Lytechinus pictus: one gene and its partner. The protein of the gene in region 1 purifies or fractionates together with the protein of each later gene. This does not show direct contact. Links are inferred from orthologs where the notes say so. Each region holds a gene or a part of one and is shown on either strand. Other genes may lie near its edges.

Region 1 (10,837 bases):
ATCTTGTAATTTAATAATTATATTCGCTTACAAAAAGTGGACGAAACTGTCATGTCCGTTACGCTTCGTGTGTCATGTCCGTTACGCTACATTTTGAGCTATGAATACAGAATGCACTGCAAAACTGTTGTTAAACACCATTTTATGGATAGAGCATGATCTTAAGGTTAAATTAACACCAACATCAGGTGCATGCAATCTAAGAATTCACAGGAATTTTGATAAGCAATAGGAGGTAAAAATGCTTCGTCCATTTCGTGTCATGTCCGTTACGCTCACAAAGAGTGCAATTTCTCTGCAACTGTTCAACGAAACGATTTGAAATTTCATGTGTATGTAACTGATACTTAAATGTGTCTGATAAGCTCAGTAACAATTATCAAAAGACTGCTAATTCTACTGTATTTACCTTTGAATTACAAAAATTTGTCTGAACGTCATGTCCGTTACGCTGGAATTGACCACATCCCACAATACAAACACTGAGATTGTTTTTATCTATTAATGGATGAAAATTTTCTGATTAAAGTACTACATAGCAATTGTATCTGTTCTTATTTTTTCATATATTTTGCCACTACAAGGCCAAAAATACACGAGTCATGTGCCTACCAGAGAAACGCATCTTATTCCAGCCTGCCATGATTCCTGAAAACATGTAATTTACTATGAAGGTTTTCAACCCCGCCCCCTAAAAAATAAACATTCAAAAGATATTTTTCTATTAAGATAGAAGACCAAACATTGATATTATAAATGAATTGATATCATACATACATGAACATGCAAAATAAAAAAAATCATGATATTCATTTTAATATACAAATAAACATCAAATTTAAAGAATTTCAACAGGATGTACTTATGGGGATTTCCAAATACATTTTACCTTTCTCTTATCTTTGCTATTCTCTGCTCAAAAGATGAAATGCACTTTTGGAGGCTTTCCAAATACATTTACATGTACCTTCATGACTACACTATTGAAAGCAGAAAATGAAATTACCTTTTTTCTGTCTCTTCTTATCTTTGCTATTTTCTGTTCTAAAGATGTTGAAACCCTCTGAGATGATGCGTGAGAGACGAGGTCAGCTGACCACGGGTCATCATCATCTGATAATGAATTAGTGAACTCAAAATCCTGAGAAAAATCCACAGCTTTCTTCTTCTGTTTACCAGTCACCTTCTTTGGTTGGGCAGCCTTTAATGAGGAAAATATATTCAAAGGTATTGCTTGATTGTAAAACTTGAAGACAAGACTTTCAGAAAGCATTAACGTAACCAAACTCAGTTTTAAATAGCCAGGAGTTTGAAGAGTAAAACTTACATTGTATGCGGTATTGAGAGGTTACACTCCAAGATGCCTAGCTCTTGTTTTTATAAATTCTATGTTGCAGGGATAACTACCCACAAACATAAGGTCTAGATTCTAGAAAACATTTCATATGATCAAAGTTTCATACAATCAATCAAACATAATGCGATGACCAATTGCAGTAGAGGCCCCGACTGAAAATGAGATGTGGATTGTCCTTGTTTACTGGGAATGTCTTTGTTTTTCATTTCTCCACAAAGGAAATCTAGAGGAAAGTTAATTCGCCCATTAGGCAACGACACATAGAGGACATTAAATTAGAGCGCTAGTTCGTGTTTCATAACAAGATCTTTAAGGCAGACAGCAAGTCATAACAGACAGTGCACTGGACCTGGAGTGAATTCAGGTCACAGAATCTAATTTTAGCATTCTTACTTCTCGTAATTGCTATCTATGTCCCACAGGGGGAAGTGAAAAAAAAATGCCCATCAACAAGGACAATCTCAATTCATCAAGACATGATTTGTCTTAGTTTATGTAAGATGTCCTTCATGTCCTTGGCCTTGTTTTCTGGAACAATCCTTTCCTTTAGTAGAGTAAAAAACCCAAAAATTGGACGGTTCCAAATATCGGACGCGGGGGACTTGCATGCATGAAATAGACCTACTATTGAACTGCACACACAGTAGATCCAGGTTGCTGCTCAAAAAAAATATTCCAGTGGTAAAATCCATGATTTTGACTTCCAAAGTTACTAATGACCCTTGCTAATTATGGACTCCAAAAGATCGATGACCAAAAAAATCTCGTAAGGGGGAAGTGATTTCTGCTGGAAATATCGCTGCCAAGATCGCACATGTTCGATCTATCGCAAGAAAATCTGCAATTGCCGCTGCGGGGGTTCCCCACAGCGGTAAATTTGACACCCTTCCAAATATGGCACTCTCCCAAGCATCGGACATATCGGCCGATTGAATTGGAAATGCGTGCTGTTGACACATGCGCTCGTTTTCAGAACGAAGTCACGCGCAGTTGAGCGAAGATGTCCGACGTTTAGAGCCGAAAGAGGTCCGACGTTTAGAGCCGAAAGAGGTCCGACGTTTAGAGCCGAAAGAGGTCCATTTGGTAAGTAATTAATTATTATTTACCGATTTCTAAATCAAAATTATTGATAGTAATAATTGAAATTGGCATTTGCGCAGTTGATTTAAGTTATTTTTTTAACAATCAAGCAATTATTTTGGGGTATCGCCGAAATTGATTGCGGCGCACAACTTTACATGCCCGATATTTGGAAACTGCGTCCTATATTTGGCAAAAGACAAGCTTCTGGTATTAAGTATATAATTTCCGTTTACCATATTTTTTCAATTCTATTTTTTTTATGACATTAATATTCAACATTTGTAATGCAGAAATACACATGATTTTTATTTGATTCATTGATTGGATTTTTGTTTTGGTCCAATTATGCTTAAAGGTCAAGTCCACCCCAGAAAATTGTTGATTTGAATCGGTAGAGAAAAATCAAACAAACATAACGCTGCAAATGTCATCGAAATTGGATGTAAAATAAGAAAGTTATGACATTTTTAAGTTTCGCTTATTTTTCACAAAACAGTTAAATGCAGAACTCAGCAATATGCAAATGAGCGAGTCGATGATGTCCATCACTCACTATTTCTTTTGTTTTTTATTGTTTGAATAATACAATATTTCAATTTTTACAGATTTGACAATAAGGACCAACTAAACTTAACCATAAACTGTTAAAATAATGGTAAGTCCACATGTTCAGGGCGAAATAAAACTTTGTTTCACTTGACAAGGAGGAGAAATGAGAATATTTCATATTTCATATAATAAAATACAAAAGAAATAGTGAGTGGGTGACGTCATCAGTCTGCCAATTTGCATACCGACCAGGATGTGCATATAACTTTTTTGTGAAATTAAGCGAAACTTTAAAATGTCATAACTTTCTTATTTTACATCCGATTTTGATGAAATTTTCAGTGTTTTGCTTGTTGGATTTTTCTCCTTTTTTCAAATCAACTTTTTGTTGGGGTGGACTTGTCCTTTAAGTGTCTGATATTTGGGCACTTTACTCTACTTTCTAACTCTTACTCTTAGCTCGGTGACTCTTTTTACTGTCCTGATTTGGAATTGATCATTCCTAGAAAATCAGAAATCAAGGATTCTTCCGCCGTCATATACTGCATCATGTACTAAGTAGCAACATCGACAGCAACGCACTGAAAAGTTAGCCAACGCGCACATAATTCTACAAATTTTTTGTGCACACCTGCAATGCCCCTGGCGCCATTCCACTTTTCTAAATAAATCTTAAAAAAGTTAGCGCTCGCATGCATGCTCATTTTTACAGATCCCAACCATGCCAACATATTAGACTAAACTTAAAGTTAGTCTACTCTAGACTCTAGTCTAGTACATTTTTATAAATTAATATAACTTTATTATAACAAGGTAAAAATTTTGATCCAATATATTATAAGTGGATTTTGTACGATGGTGCTTGAAGTTGAGAGTCCTACTACTCTGGAAGCCTTTTCAACCTTAATGAGGTCCCAATGCCTAGATCTGATCTAAAGTGACTGGGTCTGGAGTCATGGAGATGGAGAAGAACTTCGTCTCCGATCTTCGGCACCTCACCCAGCTCACGTGAATATCGGTGCATGGGACCGAAGACGAGTAAATGATTGACGTAGAATCGCAAATTACAAATTTACACCTATTTATAAATACAAGACAAAAATATTTCCATAAAAAAAGACTCTACCTCTTCATCACTACTACTTTCTTCAGAGTCAATAGACACGTTGTCATCTTCTCCAATAGTGCCGATTAGACCAAATGGGAAGTCCATTGCTCCCTGTTGATGACGATACATACACGTACCGGTAACGCTGAATGATGCATGCATACATGTACACGTGGTTTTCTGAGCATTGCAGCCTTCCCATGCCTTGTGTACCTGAAGGCCCTCTCGCTCAGCAAGTTTTGTATGTGCTAATGACTAGTCTTTGCATGGAGACACACTTGTTGATCAAAGTTTTAATCAGGGTCTGTGCCTGCAGACTAGGCCGTCAAGGCCGATTGCACGAAAGGGTATTTGCAATATTACCGTTTCATTTCAGGGGGGGGGGGGGGGGGCTGAGCCAAAAGTGGGGGGCTGACCATGCAGAAAATCACAATCGTATGGTCATTTTTGCGTTTTTGCACACGGTTTTGGAAAAAAATGGGGGGGGGGCTGAAGCCCCCCCAGCCCCCCCCCCGGTTCCGCGGCCCCTGTATTTCGTGTCGCCCATTTATCATGATGCGCCATGTGAACCACAATGTTAATGAATTACCTGGAAACATATTTTATTCGTCCGTTAAAGTTAATAAACAAAGTTTCTTTCTACCTTCATGATAAAATGATATCTCATGACTTTTATTGAATGAAAATCGATTTAAAAGCAAGTTAACGAATTTTATTTGTTTATCACAAATTAAAAAAATATCCCACACATACAGCTAGCGCATCATAAATGATAGGCGACACAAAAAACGGTCCATACTGAACCTCACGTAAATTATGCTAATTCTGAAAGTTCACTCTTTTGTTAAACCCCATTGGAATGCCTTATTGGAAACTCCTAGCTTTTCGAGAATATCGTCATAGACCTAGCTGATAGTGGAATCGGAAACTGAGCTTGATCAGATTCTCTTGAATCCTGAAACATTACTGTCTGACTGGGAAGATTAATGATTTGTTTAAGAAACCTGCCAAAATTTGTCAGCTGTTTTGAAAAATAGCCAGAATAAAATAATACTGTTACTATATGTTATTCTTACAATCGTCATCGTATAGTTGGTTCAATCGGTTGAATATCGTAATTGCCAGGAATCTATAGGAGAAGGTTTACCGCCCTTGAATCATCAGTACAATCGATGATTCAAGATTCTCGTGTGAAAAGGTCCCAAATCATATGCTAGCGGCTAGATTTTCCATCCTTTCACACGATAAAAAAAATCGAATCTGATGATTCCAGTACAAAATAAGGCTAATGACGAATATTTGGCACGTGTGAAAGCAAAATAAAACATGATTAGAATTACGAACGCTAAGGCACAGTCAAGATCACGATTCAAGATTCACGTGTGAAAAGGCCCTAGGTAATACTCATAAGTAGCAGCTATTTAATAACACATGCATGCTATGATGAAAGATATACTGCACACTGGGTAAAAGTGACAGCTTTGGTGATTAATTTATGCTGTCTTTGAATGCAGCTTCCCGGGGGGGGGGGGGCGGGGGGCACTTCCATTGACGAGTGGATACCATGAGCGACCATGGGGTCTCGAAAAGCACCCTAAACAAGTATTTTCCATATTCTGAAAGTGTGAAACCATACCCTTAAAGGGATGGTCCGGGCTGAAAATATGTATATCTAAATAAAAAGAGTAAAATTCACAAAGCAAAATGCTGAAAATTTCATTAAAATCGGATAACAAATAACAAAGTTATTGAATTTTTAAAATTTTGCTATATTTTGTGAAAAACAGTTATACGCATATCGTCATGAATATTCATTAGGTGGGCTGATGATGACACTTCCCCACTTTCCTTTTTCTGATGTTATTACATGAAATCATAAATGTTTCCTTTTTTTATACATGTGTAAATGATGTGTCTCCATTATGATGAAATAAGTTGCGGCAATAAATAACTAATGCACTTAATCAGTTTTCAATTGACGAGTGGATACCATGCGCGACCATGGGGTCTCGAAAAGCACCCTAAACAAGTATTTTCCATATTCTGAAAGTGTGAAACCATACCCTTAAAGGGATGGTCCGGGCTGAAAATATTTATATCTAAATAAAAAGAGTAAAATTCACAGAGCAAAATGCTGAAAATTTCATTAAAATCGGATAACAAATAACAAAGTTATTGAATTTTTAAAATTTTGCTATATTTTGTGAAAAACAGTTATACGCATATCGTCATGAATATTCATTAGGTGGGCTGATGATGACACTTCCCCACTTTCCTTTTTCTGATGTTATTACATGAAATCATAAATGTTTCCTTTTTTTATACATGTGTAAATGATGTGTCTCCATTATGATGAAATAAGTTGCGGCAATAAATAACTAATGCACTTAATCAGTTTTCAATCCAATTGTTTTAGTTCTTGGTAGAACAATTTTGAATAAACCTAATTTTATATAACAAAATACAAAAGAACAAGTGGAGATATGACATCATCAACCAACCTAATGAATATTCATAAAGACATGCCTAGAACTGTTTCACCAGAATAATGCAAATCTTAAAAATTCAATAACTTTGTTATTTGTTATCCAATTTTGATCAAATTTTCAGCATTTTGCTCTGTGAATTTTACTCTATTTATTGAGATATAAATATTTCCAGCCTGGACCATCCCTTTAAGCAAATGACTACATTTCTGTGATTATCTTGTATTGGGGAGGGTGACGGACCGAGATTCGGAGCCCACCAGAGACCTGACACAAAATGACATCAGGCAAACAATCAATCACAGGGGCTGCAGAACGATTTTCAAAGTGCCCCCCCCCCCCGCTTCTGCGGCCCCTGAATAATTGTCTTGCTCAAATATAACCTTAGTAAACCTTCACCTTGGCTTTATTTTCCTTGTCAACAATGATTATAGAGTTCGCCCAGCCTTTTCCTTTTTAGCTATCCGGTTAATTTAAACATATACTTTGGCCTAACGTTATGAGCTATATCTTCACAGGTAAGAGCCAGAATCCAAACAGACTCAGTCTAGCTTTCCAACATGTCAAATGTTCGGGAGTTTGATTATATCGTCGTGGGGTGTGGCGGGATCGGGAGCGCCACCGCCTACTGGTTGTCAAAGAGAGCGGGAAAAAGTGAGTATTATCTTAGCAATAATAGCGACAGTACAAAAAATATGGATTCCATTATTTACTGAATGATGCATGTGTCGTGTATGCGGTTTTGAAGTAGCTCAAATCGAACGTATTAAAGGTCAAGTCTACCCCAGAAAAATGTGGATTTGAATAAATAGAGATAAATCAAACTAGTATAACGCTGAAAATTTCATCAAAATCGGATGTAAAATAAGAAAGTTATGGCATTTTGAAGTTTCGCTTATATTTCACAAAACAGTGATATGCATAACTCAGTGACATGCAAATGAGTCAGTCGATGATGTCCATCACTCACTTTTTCTTTTGTTTTTTATTGTTTGAATTATACAAAATTTCATTTTTTTACATATTTGACAATAAAGACCAATTTTACTAAACCATATAGTATTAAACAATGCTCATTCTACATGTTCAGGGAGGAATTAAACCATTGTTTCTCTTGACAATGAGGAGAAAAATAGAATATTTCATAACTCATATAATAAAACACAAAAGAAATAGTGAGTGGATGACATCATAACTCTCCTCATTTGTATACCGACCAGGATGTGCATATAACTCTTTTGTAAAATTAAGCAAAAGTTTAAAATGACATAACTTTCTTAATTTACATCCGATTTTGATGAAATTTTCAGTGTTAAGATTGTTGGATTTTCTTTTTTTATTCAAATAAACTTTTGTTGGGGTGGACTTGTCCTTTAAGGATGCTTCCGGTTTGGGAAGAAAAAAAACATTCAATGGATTGCGCAATGAATCGGGTGTTGCTATGTCAGTCAGTGTACATATCAACCCCTCTCACTCGTCCTCGTTAGAAATGAACACTGAGCATTCACATTCCAGGCCAGGGGCGTATAAGCTTAAGGGTTGGGCAAAAGAAGCAAGGAAATTGGACTATGAATGATATTATCTCACATTTCAATTATTTCGAATATACCCTCATCCCAAGAAAAAGAAAGTAAAATAAATGTTATCATGGGGAACGAGCTTGTAATTTATTTTGTAATTGACACAAGTCATATCTAATTGTCTAACACTCTAAGGCTATATACGTTTACAATCAATTTTTCATGTAGGCCGAAGTTCCTTCTTATGTGCAGTACTATTTGTACACATTATGTACTTTAGCAGTTGCTATAGTGCAGTTAGCTGTTTATTTTATCTGTTGTACAAACAATGCAATGCACCACAGGATATTCTGTTGGGGGCAAAGGGTTTCCCCATTTTTTCTCAATAAAAAAAAATGAAATCCAGTCTTGTCTTTTGAATAATATTGTAAACATTTCGTTTTCTTTCTTTCTTTTCTTCCTTTCACAACCCCAACCTTCGGTGGGTCATTGGATCCATGCAATGGGTGACATTGAGGTTGGATCACAGGATTCTTGATCACATTTTACACAAAATCTACATTTGATTTGAAACCATGGCTGGTTGGATATAATAACTGATGAAGATGGAAGCAACGATCAGAGGCGGATGCAGGGGGCGGGCACATCCGGCCTTCCCCGTTTTGACAGCCATACAAAAATATTTTTAGTGTCTACCCTTGACATAAATCACCATCGTTTAGGCGTAAACAACTTTATGTTTATTTTTTTGTGTTTTTGCTTGTCAATTCTTTTTCGAATAAAAATATCCCATTTAGAAAAATCCTGGATCCGCCCCTTGTGATCATAAATGGTTGAAAGCCCGGCAAAAAAAAGACAATAACTACTAACTGGCACTTTTTTGTAAAAGTGTTGAAATGAGCCCTTGTCTGCAATGCTTTATTTTGGTATCTCACATGTTAAAATTAATAACTCATTTTTTTATCAATGTCAGCTTAAACTGCTTTATATATATATATATCAGGAGTGCTTGGACTTGAGCAATTCAAATTGGGGCATGACAATGGAGGATCACAAGATAACTCGAGGATTATGTAAGTTATTAATCATATTAGGTTATGCATGCATGCTTATTTAATCTTTATTCCTTTCCTACAGTGCGATGGGTCTATGGATTAGTCTCCGGACTTTGAAGCACATAGTCCGGGGTTCAAATCTCACCACGGTATTTGCATCTTTTGGTGGGATATAAATTTGTATTAGTACATTTCAAGCTCTCTACACTAGTATAATTCATTGAATACTTGGCGCTCGATCAGAGTATACAGCCTAACAAGGTCAAGTGTGCATCGCTTAAGCCCCTTTCACAATTGACGTACGACCATTTGCGACCTTTTGGTCGTGCGACAGGCTGCAACAGGCATCAATCGCTAGTCATCTCATAAGATCGCACAGAGGCTTTCACAGTTGCAACAACTGTCGTACAACAAAAACAACCAGTAAACCCCGTTGCACGAGTAAGTCGCATATGCTCTTATTGTGCTCGTGCGATCACATGCGAGTGTTGCACGAGGGATTGCGAGTGGAACGGTCGCATACATGCGAATGAAACGGTAGTGCAATGTTGTAAGCCGTTGCGATCGGTCTTGCAACAGTCTTATGGCCCATATTATTATCGCAACCAGTCGCAAGACAGGTCTCTGTACATGTAGGTCGCTTGCACATGTGCAAGTGTTGCACGACCTCCAGTCAAGTAAATGCGACTACTTAGTTGTGCCAACTCTCGCACCAAGTCGTACAACGTTGAACAACACTCGCACGATGATCGCCCGACCGATGGTACTGTACGACCCCGGGTACGGCCTGATGCGAGTGAATCGATCGTATTTGATCGCGTTCGGATTTTGAACATGTTCAAAGTTCAGATGTGACCAGTCACGACCACCTCGAGTTCGTGCGACCGTCTACAACGACTGCGAGTGCTCGCAAGACACCAAGAGATCGATCGTGCAACAACAAGAAAAAACTGTTGCAGGCAGTCGTAAACTGGTCGGACGTCAATTGTGAAAGGGGCTGAACGGTCGCATACATGCGAATGCAACGGTAGTGGAATGTAGTAAGCCGTAATTTCGATCGGTCTTGCAACAGTTTCATATTATCGCACCCAGTCGCAAGACTGGTCTCTGTAGGTCTCCAGCACATGTGCAAGTGTTGTACGACCTCCAGTCGACTAAATGCGACTATACTTAGTTGTGCCACCTCTCGCACCAAGTCGTACAACGTTGAACAACACTCACACGATGATCGCCCGACCGATGGTACGACCTGTTGCGAGTGAATCAATCGTATTTGATCGCGTTTGGATTTTGAACATGTTCAAAGTTCAGATGCGACCAGTCACGATCACCTCCGACCACCTCGAGTTTGTGCGATCGTCTACAACGACTGCGAGTGCTCGCAAGACACCAAGGGATCGATCGTGCAACAACAAGAAAAAACTGTTGCAGGTGGTCGTAAACAGGTCGTACGTCAATTGTGAAAGGGGCTTTACAGAAACCTTGCATCAAGCGCTGTATGACTGTTGCAAAATATTCGTCACTATTATTGTTGTTATTATCATTGTGATTATTGCTATTATTATTTTTCATTTATTGTTATTATCATTATTATTCTACATTAAAATGATAACAGTCGTCTTTCATACAACGCCTGTGAGTACATCCCTTTGGCAAGGGGCACCTACGAGGCGTGGGGA
Region 2 (11,375 bases), about 47 Mb from region 1:
CTTCAATGAGAGCTTTTAATCTCTCCTCAACAACCGACTCAATCATTTCATGGATAGCTGATGTAAATCTTGAATTATCCAATAGTTGTGTAACAGTGTCACTTTTCGGCATATTTTATGGAGATGGAGAATTGATGTTGATTAAGACAAGAGATCAGAAGAAAAATAGTTACCATCCAGCAGTGTAATTTGCAAGTCGAATCAATTCACAATAGTCACACCTAAAGTTTAATCCAGTACACACTCTCGCACTGCCACTGGCACTGGGTACGGTTGAACCACAGAAATACCGGTTAAGGCGGTATAACAAAAAAATGAATGTGTGGGACTGTAATTTATTCCCCAAGTTATCCAATTCACGAAGTGTCAAAAAATCTCACCAGTTTCAATTATTATCCACCTTAAAAATATCAGTTAAACAGAATATACCTCCAGGATTCGAATCGATCTGTCCAGTTAAGATGATTCTTTCATGACTAGTAATGCAAAAGGGTAAATCTGAAGAGAAAATTGAGGAAGTGTTGACGTAAATATACGGTAGCCGAATATGAAAATTTAGCAAGTTTATAATAGACTTTCATACGAAATTATGCTATATACCATCCATCTTTTTTTCCCGCTCGTTATCTTCAATCCTCAGCAGCCCGGTAATAATATCTTGTCCCTTTTTTTATTTTCCAATTTAGATTTTGCCTCATTCCATTCTACCTTAATTTCCCGCTTTTGTTTGCCTTTTTGTCATCTTTAATTCATTTCCCTGTCTTACTAATCATGCTAATGTATGTGTATATCTGGGAAAATTGTTCTTCCTCACATGTTCTTCTTTCCTTCCTTTTTCCAAATTCTTTCCGTTTTCCCTTTTTTTTCTTAGTTTTATTTTCCCTTACCCTTTTCTATTCCCCTCCCTTTTCCCCCTTTCATCTTTTTTCCTTTCCTTTTCCTTTCCCTTTCTTTCTTTCTCCCCTTATTTTTTTCCTTTTCCCGTTTTTTCTCTTAACATTTTCACGGTGAACTCCGCCAGGGGGAAGGGGGGCAGCTTGCCCCCCCGCCTGTTACGCCACTGGTTGCATGCACCTTTTGGGGGCTAAAATTAACAAAAGTAAAGGAATACGGGCTTTTTCAAGCATGGGGAACCACGGTCCTGACTTTTCCCCCCATCCCTTAGTGCTGCCGATGGGTAGAGTAAAAAACAACAAGGAAAGAGAGAAGACAAAATAGAAGAGAGAGAAGCGAAAGGGAGAGATAGGAAAGAAAAGGAGGGGGAAAGGGAGAGAAAGAGAAGGGAGAACGGAGGGGTCATATCATTGTATGAACAGGATATTTTATGATTATGCCCCGAGCATTAGTGCGAAGCTCAATGCGAGATAAGAACAAAACAGAGGGGGCACACCATGGTGCACGCAGCAAAAATTTGCTTAATAATAAGTCTCCAGCGAGCGAAGCGAGCAAGAATAAAAATCACCTTCAATTTTGAGATTGATTTTGACATGGTATGCAGAAAATGACATATATTTCCTCTTCCTTTTCTTTCTTTCCTTTTATCATTTTTTTTTCTCGGTTGTAGAACTTTTTTTTTTTTTTTTTTTTTTTTTTTTGGGGGGGGGGGGGCAGTGCTATGCGGTTCGGGTCCGGGGCAATGACGGTACTAGGGTTTTTAACCTAGGAGGAGGCAAACAAACATTTTGGGGCCGGGGGGATGGCACACATTTTAAAAAAAAGCGCGAGCTAATTTTATTGCAAATACAGTCCCTACTGATTTAAAAAGGGAACTGTTAAGAATCAGCTGTTTGCATTAATTGGGTCATGAAGATGATATCTCACCAAATGAATAATGCGAGCGCGAAGCGTGAGCTGAAAATTTTTGATATCCGGGATGATACCTGGCCGTTCTAAGCTTTTTTTTAAATTATAAAATGAATGGCTATCTAAATCGCTGAAAATAAATCCTCTATGGAAATTATGAATACGCAGGATATGTATCTCGCTAAAACAAATAATGAAAACTCTAATAACATTTGATTTTTAAGCCCCATGTGAACAGATAATCATTAATAACTGCGAGCGCGTATCGCGAGCTACATTTTGAATTTTATATAATGGCCTGAAAGATTTATGTTAGTGACCAAAATTGTTGGGATCTAAATGCTAACGGTGAATGGATGAGAATATTTTTAAAATTTAAAGAACAAAAAACATTTTTGGAGTATTATGACAACGTTTACTATACATTTTGTTTCTTCAAATTTCGGGGGGGGGGGGGGCAACTCACTGGGGCCTCCCCATTCGGTGGCGCCACTGGTCTGGGGCGGAGCCCCCAGAACCTCGTGATATTTTTAAACATTGCAGATGGCCATTTTTTTTAAATCAAATCGCGGATACATACATCACATATTATATTAAGTTGCTAATTAATTGAATTGAAGGCTACACGTGCAAAAGAAAATGTCTCATGAGAATTATTCGAAGATTAGAGGAGCTTTATACTCATATTTTATATTTTGACAATACGTTTTCTATCGATATACGCCCCCATCTTTTCTCCAAGAGATGACGATCTACAACAGAAGGCTGAAGATATTAATTCGACCCAACCCATTCTCATTTTTTTAATTTGTAAGTTGATTACAAAAAAGAATATGTATAATGATTAGACTGATTCTAGAAACAGAGAATGGGCAACCATTGAACATATTTTGTGCAAATAAAAGAAAAATACAGGTGTCACTCAGCTTTCGGAGCTATTTTATTGGCGGAGGATTTAGGACTGAGTATAATATATGAATAAGATCTGCTCATGAGATGCTTTAACCAGTTGCCCCCTAAATGTGCATGCGCCGGGTCAAGCTAGTGTTTATCTGGTTGCCCGAGTCGAGTTCTCCAAGTTAGGGTACGTGGTTACCCTGGCTAGGCCGTCGGGATATCCCTGGGGGCCCCTTGAAAAAATACTTTTAATTTTAAAAATGCGATAAATATCCCTTTATTCCCTTTACTTTTGTTAATTTGAGCCCCCTAAATGTGCATGCACCTGGTCAAGCTAGTGTTTACCTGGTTGCCCGAGTCGAGTTCTACAAGTTAGGATACGTGGTTACCCTGGCTAGGCCGTCGGGATATCCCTGGGGGCCCCTTGAAAAATTACTTTATTTTAATTTAAAAAAATGCGATAAATAGCCCTTTATTCCCTTTAATTTTGTTAATTTGAGCCCCCTAAATGTACATGCGCCGGGTCAAGTCAGTGTTTATCTGGTTGCCCGAGTCGAGTTCTACAAGTTAGGGTACGTGGTTACCCTGGCTAGGCCGTCGGGATATCACTGGGGGCCCCTTGAAAAATACTTTATTTTAATTTTTAAAATGCGATAAATAGCCCTTTATTCCCTTTAATTTTGTTAATTTGAGCCCCCTAAATGTACATGCGCCGGGTCAAGTCAGTGTTTATCTGGTTGCCCGAGTCGAGTTCTACAAGTTAGGGTACGTGGTTACCCAGGCTAGGCCGTCGGGATATCCCTGGGTGCCCCTTGAAAAATACTTATTTTAATTTTAAAAATGCGATAAATAGCCCTTTATTCCCTTTAATTTTGTTAATTTGAGCCCCCTAAATGTGCATGCGCCGGGTCAATTAAGTCAGTGTTTATCTATTGCCCGAGTCGAGTTCTACAAGTTAGGGTACGTGGTTACCCTGGCTAGGCCGTCGGGATATCCCTGCATGGGGGCCTCTTGAAAAATTACTTTATTACACACACACCGCAAAAAATAGCCGGTGCCCCCCCCCCCCCTGAAAAAGCAAGGACCCCCAGTCCCCCCCCCCGGGAAAAAATCCTAGCTACGCCACTGTCTGCGAAGGTCCGAAAACGCTGGAAAAAGCCATGTTAAAGTGAATTTTTGTTGCACGTGGTCTTATCATGCATGCACTGCACTGCGTGCACGTGTGTTGGCTGTTGGCTGTGCGAAAGACGAAATCAGAGAGCAGGAAGTGGAAAGCGAACTACCCGATTTCGTTTTCGCTGTCTGCGTTTTTCCAAACAGAATCAGGGGGTAGAAAGCGTGTTCTGATTTTGTTTTTAATATATAACAAACACAGGTATAGAATGAGGTATCAGAGAGGACCAAAAGTATTTCTGATTTCATTCTTCTGTTTTTGATCTCCAAAAATGAAATCACAACGGGGTTTTTCTCGTTGTGATTTCGTTTTTGTGTTTTCAAAGACCAATCCATGAGGTTGACTTCCGTTTTTGCTCTACGAAAATCAGGAATGAAAAACGAATTATCCATTAGTACCCTGATTCGCATGTCTATCTAGATACTCAACTTGTTAGTATTTCAACCATTATCCAGTTTCTGAAATACAAAATTCTGCTAGCGCTTTGTGCTCGCATTTTTTATGTAGGAAGAACCCCTATTACTCATCCTTATTATACAAAACAGGAATAGAGTGTCCCATTTTTTAGGTCTAAAATTTAAATGTCGATTTTTTTTCCGCTCGCGCTTCGCGCTCGCATTAATTGTTTTATAACGACGATCCTGTTCATGGTCACAATAATTGATTAAAATTTTCCATTCTTTATGTAGAAGTGTAAAAAAAAAATCGGCTTGCGCTTGCATTATTTTATTGTTGAAATATGTAACGTCTCCATGGCTAAGTGAAATAAGCAGTCCTTAACAGGTACCTTTTTGATCAGTTCAAAACGTATACAAAAATCTTATGCTCGCTAATTTGCGCGAGCATTATTAAAGTAACAAAGATCGGCAATTTAACATCCTTTCCATGATGATTTAAAAGACATGACTAGACATGTCTCGTTTTTAGGTCTAAATCTTCCAATTTTGTGCTCGCGCTTCGCATCAATTGCTAAGTTATATACCTATCCTGTTTAAGTTACAAAAAGTGCCTATGATTTCAATTCTGTTCGCACTTCGCGTTCTTAGTAATTATTTAGTTGCATACACGTCTTTTTCATGATAAACATTGCCCAGAAATTTCAAACTTTGGGGAAAAACATATTTTTTTTTTATAAATTAGCTCGCACTATATAAAAAGGGTTATGATATTATATATTTATGTTGATTTATAAGACAAAAGCTAAGAAGTGACATTTCTTCAAAGAAACAAATATAAATCATATTCGCGCGGCCGATTGGGGAAAAATAATGGTGAAAAAAAATTTGCCCCCCCCCCCCCCTTTGGCGAAAGCTGGATCCACCCCTTCATCCTATTTATTTCTCTCCTTCCGTCCATTTCTCCATTCTTCCAGGAGCCGCGGAATAGTTTTGAAAAATGTTTTTTCAAAACTTTTTTTTGGTATTTCTACCAATAAATTAATGAAAATAATGCGGTACAAAAATCAATGTCATTCTTCTTCCTGTTTTAAACTATATACGTGTACAAAAAACGCACCACTAGCTAAAAAAAACAAAAAAAAACTTGGGGGTCACAACCCGAGCACCCCACTTCCCAGGGCCATATACAAGGATTCTAATTTATTAATTTTAACGAAAGCATGAGACATCATTTGTTGAAAAAAAATTAAAGAGAGCTATTAATGACTGCATGTGGTCCTACCGGTAAGCTAGATCTGCGCACAAAACTGCTTTCATATGACACGCAAAAGGGATAAATCTTAGTGGAAAAGTGGGATAAAGCAAACAGGATTTAGAAACTGCCTTCGTTGGCGTTCAATAATATGGGTGGTATGATACAAATTCTGCTAGCTTATTCGTACTATTATTTCTGGCCATTGTACTTAGATGTATATTTTAATGTGGAAACATTTTTAATTTTTTTTTATGATACAAATCGAGCGAGGCAAGTACAATGATATGGGGCAGAGTTCCAAGTCTTCATGCCCCAGACTGAATATATTTTGACATCAACTTACTCCAAAAACAAGTGTTATGTTTTATTTTGTATTATTCATTTTTTAAGTATAAGGTAAAATTATAAGTCTCGGAGTGTCAGTTAATGCTGCAAAAGATGTATAAGGCCTACTCTTTTGCAGCACTATCCAGCTACCGCGGCGAGGACGCCCTCCGAGAAGGTAGCCATATCAAAACTAAAAACAAAAAATTCCACTTAGATTACTGGTGGATCCAAGGGGCATAATTATCGAGAGCCAAATTTGTAATTTGTAACATAAACATGCCCTTTTTACCCAAGCATGCCCCTTGAAAGTGAGGATATATATAGGCCCAATTTTTTTGCTTGTCAATTTTTAGGGACGAAATTTTGAATTTTTTTTAAAAACATTTTGTAATGCTTATCAAATTTGCATCGGGAAAATGTGCCTCCATAGGCCCTGTCCCCCTTAATTTGAGGTGGGGACCATTGGCAACGTAAAGCAAAAATTTAGGGGGGGGGGGGGGACCACCAAAATTTTGTGAAAAGCCCCCCCCAAAAAAAAAAAAAGTTTATCAACCCAAATTTTAGGGGAGACCACATGAAATTTTTAGGGGGGTCCACTGGAATTTAGGGGGCAGGCAGGAAAAAAAAATTACAAGCAAATAAACAAAAGGTTATCAACAAAAAAAATTAGGGGGGGGCGATTGTCCCCCCACCTCAAATTTAGGGGGGACACGACCCCCCCCCCCCCCCCCCCCCGCTGCCTATGGGGGACGTTGTTGGGTTTTTTTTGGCTAATTTTTTTTTTTCGGTCCCCCCCCCCTTTTTTTGTCAAAAATGTTGGTGCCCCCCCCCCTTAATTTTTTGACTGCCGCCGCTAATAGTGCCCCCTCTCCTTTGGAAAATCCTGGACCCTCCCTTGCCTAGATATAGATGTTTAAAGAATTAATTATTTTGAAAGTCAGAGTGCCCCTGCCCCCCCCATGCTTTAGTTATCATGGCATAAAACTTATGTCATATCTAATCCTTAAATCAGCAAGAGGTCAGAGCATACAGTATCCGTCACCAAACGACTGCATTTGAGCCATTTATTTTCTCTTTTCTCTTCTTTCTATTTTTGGTTGTTATTTAATCATTGTTTATTTGGATAAGCTCGGATCCGAGACTAACTGGGACGGTGAACGCACTTTCGTTCGAGTTGTGTATTTGGGTAACAATACGCCGAGGCGAGAAAGGACACGCCCACAATCCCTCGTTCAGTGCCGAGCTCTGAGAATACGTGTCGACGAAATTTCAAAATGAAATTTGTACACAAATCTGTCACAATTCGGACCCACTTTAGCCTCAGATTAACAGATAATTAGATCTCTTTGTAACACTAAAAGTCATTCACTTGGGGTTTTTTAATATGCTGATTCAGGTGAGGTACTTTTCAATGCTTTTAAACATAGATTAAAAAAATTAGATTTTCGTTTTGGGATCCCTACGAAAGGTGTTGAATCAAATCTAAGTAGGACCTATCAACAGTGCAGTGATAACGGCATTGCCATTGACTTTGAAGTTGAACTTGTGTCTTTTTGTGATGCACATGTTTACTATAATTTCATTCATAGGTTAATAATAGCTTGCGATCATGGCTGGATGGTGTCATGTAATAAGCAAAGCGTACATTGAATGCTATATGCAATACATCAATGTGAAAAACAGAATGATGCTTATTTGTCAAATCTAGGATCAAAATGTTTTTCACACCATGTATTTTAATCTTTACAGTTCAAGAGTGGTATAGCAACTAGCTTCATAACAAGAGCATCAGCTGTGAAGAGACTCCAGTTAAATCTTGTCAATTTCAGGTGAGAGTCAAGTAATTTGACTTTTTTATGTCACTTAAATTTGATTTTTTTTTTTTTTTTACTTAAAAAATAGCCAAGATAATATGTAACTAAAAAAAATGTTTTAATCTGAATAAAGTAAATGATGATGTTTGATCCATCTTGGATAGCCACATTTGAAACTGGAATATCTGCAAATCCAGAACTGAAAAAAAAATCAAATAAACAAACATGAGGGCTATCAGCCATTGCCCCCCCCCCCAAATATGATTGTTAAGAATATCACTTGGAAGTAACAAGAGAACCAAACACATTGTTAGGTACATATACAGTGAATACAATACATGAAAGAAGAAAGGCCCCTGTAAAGAAAGTCTTTTTTAAGCTGACTAATCAGGCAAAATTTCATTTTGAAGACTGAAATGTTGCGTCAGCCAGGGCATACCTCTTTTGAAAATTATCATAGGACTAATTCATTGTTGGTGGAGGAGGGGGGGGGGGCTCCTTTGACATTAACATAATTTGACCAGTCTACATCCTTGTATAATTAAAGGTCAAGTCCACCCCAGAAAATGTTGATTTGAATTAATAGAGAAAAATCAAACAAACAACGCTGAAAATTTCATCAAAATCGGATGTGAAATAAAAAAGTAATAAAAAAGTTATTGCATTTTGAAGTTTCGCTTATTTTTCACAAAACAGATATGCACAATGCACGATGATGTCTATTACTCACCATTTCTTTTGTTTTTTATTGTTTGAATTATACAATATTTAATTTTTTACATATTTGACAAATAGGACCACCTTGACTGAACCATATATTATTAGACAATGCTCATTCCACATGTTCAGGGAGGAATTGTTGTTTCCCTTGACAATGAAGAGAAAATTAGAATATTTCATGGAATGAAATACAAAAGAAATAGTGAGTGGATGATGTCATCAGTCTCCTCATTTGCATACCGACCAGGTCGTGCATATAACTGTTTTGTGAAATTAAGCGAAACTTTAAAATGTCATAACTTTATTATTGTACATGTACATCCGATTTTGATGATATTTTCAGTGTTATGCTTGTTGGATTTTTCTCTTTTTATTCAAATCAACTTTTTGTTGGGGTAGACTTGTCCTTTAGGGAATGGTTAATGAATATTTCCATTGAATATTTTTTTTTGTTATTTTTTCTTTTGCTATATATCTTTATCTTTCTGTCTTTCTTTACAGGAGGCTGTGTATTCTGAAAGGGGTGTATCCGGTTGAACCAAAGAGTATCAAGAAGGCCGGAAAGGGGCAGAAACTTCACAGAACCTATTTCAGATTCAAAGACATCCAATTTTTGGCTCATGAACCCATCGTTCAAAAGTTCAGGGATCATAGGGTATGTATGCTTTTCAAAGAATGTATTGATTGATATTCACAGAATGATGATTTTCAATCTTATTTTTAAGGGGAAAAAAGGGTGATATTATTTCTGATAATTTTATCACAATTTTGCCCCAAACACCTTGTTCTGCCTCCTGAAAATAATCCTGAACAGAAAATTCAAGCATGTCCCTTATCCTGTACCTTCAGAGAAGTTCAAACATGAATTGTTCAGGAGCTAATTTCACGTCACGACTGCTTGTGTTTTTGATGCTACACCCGTGTAGTATTTAAGGCCTGATGAAAAACATTTGTTTTTTCGTTCTTTGGGTATTTTATTTTATCTTTGCCTGTCAAGTTCAGAGAGGATAAAAAATCAAGATGTGAAAGATGTATAATACAAATTTATCACAAAATAGTATGAGTGTCAGCATGAAAAGAATGTGGAAAGAGATTGTTAAATTGGTATTGGTGTCTAGGTGAACGAATGCTTGTATTTGAAGACAAAAAAGGGCCTGTTTAGTGTTGAAGGTCCAATTTCAGAGAAAACTGTTTAAAAGTGATTAGGAAATACTGATTATAATGTCCCAAAATATTAATGAGTGGGACATTGTATGATTTTGAAATCATTGAAATATGTATCGATTAACTATTTTTGCTGATTCACATGACCCACACTTAGTAATGGCTGGATGGGACTACACACAAATGTTCTGCCCAAACATATTTTGAATATCAGGACATCTGCAGGACTTGACATTTTTACCATCATAATCTTCCTTAATGAAGTGAAAATAACCCGAAAGTTCACATTGAATATATAGATTTTCCTTTCAAATTAATATATTGGGGAGTTCTTTTATTTTATCTTCTTTTTATTGTGATAACTCTTAGTTTATTTACCATATGATGTGCACTGTTTGTCTGACCCTTGATGTATATGTACAAGTATTCATTAGAATCCAGATTTTAATCTTAATCTTTCAATTTTTTTTTCTTTTACTCTTTTCTTTCTGGGTTTTCAGGTTTTTGTAAGGAAAGTGAGGAAAGCTAAGGCCAAGCGAGAATGGACATCATTGGACAGACTTAATCGCAATGAACCCAAGTATAAGCTCGATCACATTGTTAAAGAGAGGTATTCAATTCATTTCAATTTTTCATTTTTGACAGAACAAAGTAAAGTGGTCGAAAATAATTACAATGACATTTGCAAATGAAATTTATACAAACAATATAGATTGAAGATGTGAATATGAACTAAAATCTTGGGGTTTAATCTATTTTATGTTAATGGCCTAATGAAAAATAATCATTAAAGATACGAATGATAGTATTGGATGACTTTTCCTCATACAAATATTCAACTTTTGAGGGCCAATACTTCACTCTTGTATGATTCATTCAGTATTATTTACGTTGTTGAATATTATTAGTGTCCCATTCTGAACCATCAGCTATCCCAAAGAGTTTAAATGTTGTATTTTAAGGAAGTTTGGACTGGAATCATTGGATTAGAATATTTTTCTTGATCTTTGTGTTTGACAGATACCCAACGTTTGTTGATGCTCTCCGTGACCTTGAAGACCCTTTGACCTTGTGCTCATTGTTCAGTACATTTCGTAAGAATGCCAAAGTGAAGAGCGAAGTTCTCCCCCTCTGCAGACGACTTGTCGTAGAGTTCATGAACTATGTCATCGCATCAAGGTCACTCAAAAAGGTGAGATTCATGAATAAAGTCTCTGACAAAAACAATTAGAGTTTTTGTGGATCAGTAGAAATCTCTAGAAATTGATTTACCAGTATTAATCTGTATTTGCCTCACATGACCCAGGTGTAGTAAGTGGGTATCTAGTAGGATTCATGCACTTAGTGCTGACAGAAAACCAATTTGGGTATGACATGTGGCATAGAAACAGGTTACCAGTCAAATGTAAAAGTCAAGTATGAACTTACCTGTTAACTTATATTAAGCCAATAGGTATAATCGCTAACTTGAATAGATGGCAAGTATAAAATTTGCAAAATCTGTTATATCTTGATGTGTTGTTCATTCCATGTAGGTTTTCCTGTCCATCAAAGGGATCTACTTCCAGGTGGAGATTGAGGGACAGCTATTAACATGGCTCATTCCGTATAACTTTGGATATTCGGTTGGTATTTCTTCTTGCTATGGTGTTTTGTACAGTGAAACCTGTGTTCAAAGATCCTTTAGGCAAATATTGTTATGAAATGTGAGAGGGTCTGCCATAGGCTTCAGGGCAGGAGGCAGGGGCGCAACCCCCTTATTCTTTTCAAGTGAAAAGGAGAGGACAGGGATTGCGGGGAAAGTATAATAGAGTACCAAAGTA

Evidence for each region. The genes of interacting proteins can lie anywhere in the genome.
Region 2: the proteins of probable ATP-dependent RNA helicase DDX27 (region 1) and pescadillo-like purify together in Homo sapiens (affinity purification with mass spectrometry; 4 studies listed by BioGRID and IntAct, counting the BioPlex papers as one, with this or other methods). This does not show direct contact. The link is inferred for Lytechinus pictus from reciprocal best matches to the Homo sapiens genes DDX27 and PES1.

Annotation. Positions count from the first base shown.
Region 1 is NC_087246.1:68,125,602-68,136,438, reverse strand, and holds the start of probable ATP-dependent RNA helicase DDX27, read right to left. Parts: upstream 4,307-10,837; 5' UTR 4,260-4,306; coding exon 4,116-4,259; intron 1,202-4,115; coding exon 1,007-1,201; intron 1-1,006. Other genes in the region: monomeric sarcosine oxidase-like, read left to right, coding at 7,144-7,237, 9,107-9,176, 10,774-10,837. UniProt on the Homo sapiens protein: Probable ATP-dependent RNA helicase. Component of the nucleolar ribosomal RNA (rRNA) processing machinery that regulates 3' end formation of ribosomal 47S rRNA.
Region 2 is NC_087246.1:20,638,980-20,650,354, forward strand, and holds the start of pescadillo-like, read left to right. Parts: upstream 1-7,238; coding exon 7,239-7,250; intron 7,251-7,603; coding exon 7,604-7,683; intron 7,684-8,889; coding exon 8,890-9,043; intron 9,044-10,052; coding exon 10,053-10,162; intron 10,163-10,572; coding exon 10,573-10,744; intron 10,745-11,087; coding exon 11,088-11,177; intron 11,178-11,375. UniProt on the Homo sapiens protein: Component of the PeBoW complex, which is required for maturation of 28S and 5.8S ribosomal RNAs and formation of the 60S ribosome.